Saccharomyces cerevisiae S288C: one gene and its partner. The gene in region 1 interacts genetically with each later gene. Each region holds a gene or a part of one and is shown on either strand. Other genes may lie near its edges.

Evidence for each region.
Region 2: of CBP6 (region 1) and QCR7, changing one suppresses a phenotype caused by changing the other (phenotypic suppression), as found in Saccharomyces cerevisiae (one study listed by BioGRID).

The regions. Positions count from the first base shown.
Region 1 is NC_001134.8:479,684-482,649, forward strand, and holds CBP6 (Cbp6p), read right to left. Parts: upstream 1,241-2,966; coding exon 752-1,240; downstream 1-751. Other genes in the region: MUD1 (Mud1p), read left to right, coding at 1-640; GRS1 (glycine--tRNA ligase), read right to left, coding at 1,681-2,966. UniProt on the Saccharomyces cerevisiae protein: This protein is involved in processing of the 5' terminus and the intervening sequences of cytochrome b pre-mRNA.
Region 2 is NC_001136.10:1,495,623-1,498,706, forward strand, and holds QCR7 (ubiquinol--cytochrome-c reductase subunit 7), read right to left. Parts: upstream 927-3,084; coding exon 543-926; downstream 1-542. Other genes in the region: HLR1 (Hlr1p), read left to right, coding at 1-235; APA2 (bifunctional AP-4-A phosphorylase/ADP sulfurylase), read right to left, coding at 1,169-2,146; CAB1 (pantothenate kinase), read left to right, coding at 2,610-3,084. UniProt on the Saccharomyces cerevisiae protein: Component of the ubiquinol-cytochrome c oxidoreductase, a multisubunit transmembrane complex that is part of the mitochondrial electron transport chain which drives oxidative phosphorylation.

The DNA of each region.
Region 1 (2,966 bases):
AGCAGACCGGTTTCTAGAAAAATACACGACAACAGCATTAAAAGTTCAAGGTCGTAAAGTGAGAATGGGAAAGGCTCGAACAAATTCGTTATTGGGTCTTTCAATAGAAATGCAAAAAAAAAAAGGTAATGACGAAACGTACAACCTTGATATAAAGAAGGTGCTTAAAGCAAGGAAACTTAAACGCAAGTTACGTAGTGATGATATATGCGCCAAAAAGTTCAGGCTTAAAAGGCAAATAAGACGCCTGAAGCATAAGCTGAGATCAAGAAAGGTAGAGGAGGCTGAGATTGATAGGATTGTAAAAGAATTTGAAACCCGTAGATTGGAAAACATGAAGTCTCAGCAAGAAAATCTAAAACAATCGCAGAAACCTCTTAAGCGGGCTAAAGTGTCCAATACAATGGAAAATCCACCGAACAAAGTCCTTCTTATACAAAATTTGCCAAGCGGCACTACCGAGCAATTATTGTCGCAAATACTTGGCAATGAGGCTTTAGTTGAAATCAGATTAGTTAGCGTTCGTAACCTAGCTTTCGTGGAATACGAGACCGTTGCTGATGCTACGAAAATCAAGAATCAGTTAGGCTCCACTTACAAGCTACAAAACAATGACGTTACCATAGGATTTGCTAAGTAGAATTTCCTTTGCGGAAGTATACCTCGAGTAAAGAAATTCACAGATAAATTTGAATAACGTTCTCCATTATGAATAAATATGTATTTACAAGCTTAGAAAATAATGTGCTCTTTATTTACCAAATAATACAGTTCTCATTGCAGTAAATAAGCTTTCCTTTTTCTTACCGTCAACGGCATTTATTAACCGTTGATAATATTGGGGATTTCCTGCAGGTTTATAGAGCTTATCGCCAATATCGTAATAGTTTCTGAATTTATTATTCATTATAGTGCTCAAGGCACGAATTTGCTCGTTGATGCTTTCTTCCGTGAATTTCTCATCTACCATTTTATTTTGAATTTTGGTTAACATCTCCTTATTCAGTCCTAATGGACCGGAAGTTCTGTTAATTATACTTTTTATTTCATCTAATGAGGGTTTTTTCTCTTTTATAGATTTTCCTTTGTCATCTACATTTGGCAGACCCGCTACACGTCTAAATCTTGCTATTTGTACATCCCTGAATGAGACCAAGTGGTGTATACGATCCTTTGGATATTTTTCCAGTAAATTAACTAATTTTTTGGCAGAATCCCTGACGACCTGGGAAGAAGACATTTTGGCACTTGCTTGTGGAATACGGAGTTTAACTTGGTAAGCTGATAGAGAGAATGTTTCAATGAAGGCTACCTTTTTTTCTTATAATGTTGCTACCACAGGAAATCTTGATATACGTTAATGTTTTGGCCCCTACAAGGCCGGAAATATTTCGCTTTTTCTTGATATCAGAATTTTTCGCATGTCCGACCATGCGCAGAGCTGCTATGAAAGTACTTTAACTATTAGTGTGAGGAATGGCTAAATAAACAGCAGATGTGATTTCCGCACTTCTTTTATAAACTTCCAAAATAATCGTATTAGTGGACAGTACATAATCATATCTTGCAATACGTATCAATAGTAAACGAATTATTTATTCATACACACATGTATATACTTCTCGCTTCTTTTTTTAATTTACATGTTTGGCGATATATAGTTAAAATTAAGTCATTTATTTAGTCAGTTTCAGCTTCAGCTTCAGCTTGGGCAATAAAAGGAGTCAAATCCTTGGTACCTTCTTCCCAAGAAGCACCATTGTAAGTGATATCGCGGATAGCCTTGATGACATTTTCGACGGAACCTCTAACTTGCTTGGTGGAATCTCTTTCTCTCAAAGTGACAGAATGGTCTTTGGCAGATTCAAAGTCAATGGTGACACCGAATGGAGTACCTAATTCGTCATTACGGGCATATCTTTTACCAATGGAAACTCCAGAATCATCAATCTTAAATGGGATTTGAGACTTTCTTAAGATTTTGGCGACTTCAGTAGTAACAGGAACTAAATCTTTGTGGTTAGATAAAGGAACTAAAAGAACCTTTGTTGGAGCAACCAAAGGTGGGAAGGAAAGAACACTTCTGGCATTGTCTTCTGGTCTGTTCCAGAAAGAGTGCTCAAAAACGGAGTAGATGATACGGCCAATACCGAAAGATGGTTCAATGACACTAGGAACATATTCTCTAACGTGTTCAACCTTTGTTCTTTGTTCGATTTTAACCAATTTATCGTCCAACTCGACTTCGCCATCAACACCATCAACCTTTATAGTAAACTTGCCATTTGCCTTCAATAACTCAGCCTTGGAAGCCAAGTCATCTTGAGACATATTCAATAGATGAGATTCAACTTTTGGTGCATCTTTTCTGAATTTTGGACCGAACAATTTTTTCGTCAAATCAATTTCCCACTTGGTGACTTCAATTGGATTATCTAATTTTTGTCTAACAACCAATTTTTCTTTGGTCTTTTTGGAATGAACGGTCAAATCATAGGCAGATCTATCAGCACATCCGACACATTCAATCCACCCGTAAGATGTCTTCAATTCACCATCCCAACAGTCAGCAGCATAATGTGCCATTTCATTAGCCATATGTTGACGGAATCTCAATTTGGACTCATCAACACCAATTTTCATCAAAAATTGGTAAATTCTGGCAATAAAGTAACCCAAAGTTTCATTATCGACCATTCTTGAAGCAACTGCTTCACCAACTGTCTTGACAATTGGTTCAGTAGAACCAGCTTCTTGAACATCACGAGGCAAAAAGGAAAGCTTGATGTCTTTGATTTCATTAAATTTTGGATGAGATTTGTCCAATGGGTCAACGAAATGTTCAATCTCTGCCATCAAAAATTCACGGACTCTTAATAAACCGGCCCTTGGGGAAATCTCATTTCTAAATGATTTACCGATAGAGGCTGAGGCAAAAGGGGTCTTACTGTTGTTAAATTCTAACA
Region 2 (3,084 bases), on another chromosome or scaffold:
ACAAACAGACGACGAAGAAGAAGAGAGTATTCCGGAAGAAATACTACGAGGAGAACCCCTCCACGTATACAACGAAACTAGTGGATCTGATAAAAGTGTCATTTTGCCGACGAAACAAAAATCTGCTCCCATTAACAAGGATAGTAAGCACAGTTCAACTCAGTATGAAGAAAAATCTTTTAAGAAGAATAGAAAGTTCAAAATTTTCGCCAAGTTATTCTGCACTAGGAAATAGTAGAATAAATTTAAGATATATAGACCACTCGATACCCCATCACCTGCATAATTATAGAAAAAATAAATACTAATAGATACCCGATTTATAACACTAGACATTACAATATACGAATTTCATAATAAAATTTTAAGTTCAGACTATAGATAAATAAATAATATGAAGTAAACGTTTCAAGCAAACGCTTATATATATATAGAGAGATAATAAAGGATATGATTTAGTCTCTGTCCCTTCTTTCAAATGAATATTTAATGCCTTTTTTTTTTCGGGTTGTGTGTTCGTGGTGATTTTTTTATTCTTCTTTTCATTTGGAGACCTCTATGTTGTCTAACTCGTCCTTCTCCTTAGCTGCAGCTTCAGCTTCTAATATGTATGGCAACAGGTAAGGAACATCCTCTTGGGCTTTGATCCATTCGTTTCTTGGCAGTAAATGATGAGTCAACTCGGTTTGATGAGCCCTGATTATTCTATATGCTCTGGCATAAGATTCATCTTCAGGGAGTCTTCTTAAAGCGGTCTGCATGATGGGATTTTCCTCTGCAATTAAGTCGTCAAATTTGAGCCCTAACTTCTTGTAACCTGCGAGGTTAATGAACTGATTGGCAACTGGAACACATAACTTGGAGAGGACGGGTGACTTCAAAATATAGTCACCAATTCTCGCAATAGACGTAAAAGACTGTGGCATTTTGTTCTTTCTGGAACGTTTAATTACAGTTACTAATATTCTGATAAATTGTCCAACAACAACCTTTACTGCTATTTTTCCAAGCTTTTACATCTCTTCCCTTTTATTACTGCTCTATGAAAGTAAATTGTCAGGCCCCCCGCCGGGGTGACCCGATAAAAAGCGCGTCGCTCCTGATTGGTCAAAACAAGATCACAGCGCAGTTACACATCTATAGACAATGTACATATGGCTAATAGACCTTAATAGTGATACTCTGTTGGTTTTTGGCCTGCTGTGTTGGGGAAACCGCATTGCAGTAACGACTTGTCCACAAGATGAGGATCTTCAGTGAGGTTCTCTAGTTTTTCTCTGTCTTTAACGAGGATCATACCACAGTACCCCGTGGAGTTAATGTTTAACATCAATGGCGGTCCACTCTTGGCATGCGATCTTGGAACTACACAGATCCATTTCTTGGTCAGTAGCACATTGTATGACTTGGTCAACTCCGGAGACTCATTGGTCCAATCTTGGAAAAATGTAAGTGCTCTCTGCATCAAAGATACGTAACACATAGCAAGAAGATCTTCGTCCACTTGATCAGACGATTCCGGCAGCGGCAAGACGAAATGAGCAAAGGAAACCTTATCATCTTGTAATGGCTCTGCGTTGAAGGTGGGCAAGAAATGATCCTTTCCGTTGCACAATACGTCCTGAAAAGGTATAAATTTTTCAGGCATTTGCATGATCTGCAAGTGTTTGTGATCTTGTGAGGAACCGCTATGAGGTCCACAATTATAAAAGACCAGATACCTTTCACAAGTGACATCATCGTCCTTGTCTCCTTGGAGAGAACAGAGCACATTATAAGCAGTCATCAAGTCACTTGGCGTCAAAGCAGATCTCTGGTCTTTAAACTCGCTTGTCACTAGGAGACTATGTTCAGGGACCACAGGAAATTTGTTGAGTAGCAGCTTATATTCTCCGTCACCATTTAGATCTTCAGTCACCACTAGTTCTTCGTCGGGATTGGCGAACGGGTCCTCCGCCTTTGAATCGCTATTCTTGTTAGCGTCTGGCTTAAGTGCCAAAGATGGAGCAAATGTCACCCAATATTGTGTCGTCGTTTGAGGATCTTTCAACTTCTTGGATTCTGCATGCGTTACTTTCAGATGCCCATTCTTTTTGGCTGCAACGAACTTATCGTGGATTTTCTGTTTCAAATTCTCTTCAATCATCTTTGTCTTCCTATTTTCTCTGACCCAGGGGCTCGGTTGCCTTTTAATTTTATTATATTTCAATAGTTCAACACATTTTCGAAACAGGCAAAAGCTTTACACGTGACGTTGGTATGATCGAGTATTATTCATATGGTCGTTCATGATTGCGTATTTACGACAGTATCTCAAAAAGTTTCACTCAAATGCGGAGAACTATCCGCGATCTACGCATTGAGCTCCTTTAGTTTGTAATTGCCGGGACCGATTTTTTTTTTTTTACTTCTGACTGTTCCACTTAGGAATCTTACATGACGTTAAACGACTAGCGCAGTTCCCCCAATATCGGCCGAAATTTTATTTCACCAACATAACGATGAGTAAAAAGAACTTATGTTTCTGAACAGATTGATCATTAAAACTAAAAAACTACCAGAATAAAGAAATTTATAGTTCCAATTGAGTGCATGCGAAAAGAATCGCAATGCCGCGAATTACTCAAGAGATATCTTACAATTGCGATTATGGCGACAATACTTTCAACCTTGCTATTGATATAGGAGGCACTCTGGCTAAAGTAGTCTTCTCGCCTATACACAGTAACAGGCTGATGTTCTACACCATTGAAACAGAGAAAATTGACAAGTTCATGGAACTTCTGCATTCTATTATCAAAGAACATAACAATGGATGCTATAGAATGACTCATATAATTGCCACTGGTGGTGGCGCCTTCAAGTTTTATGATTTGTTGTATGAAAATTTTCCTCAAATAAAAGGTATATCGAGGTTCGAAGAAATGGAAGGCTTAATTCACGGTTTAGACTTTTTCATTCATGAGATTCCCGATGAAGTTTTCACTTACAACGATCAAGATGGCGAAAGGATAATACCCACCAGTTCCGGCACCATGGACTCAAAGGCTATCTACCCATACCTTCTAGTCAATATAGGGTCGG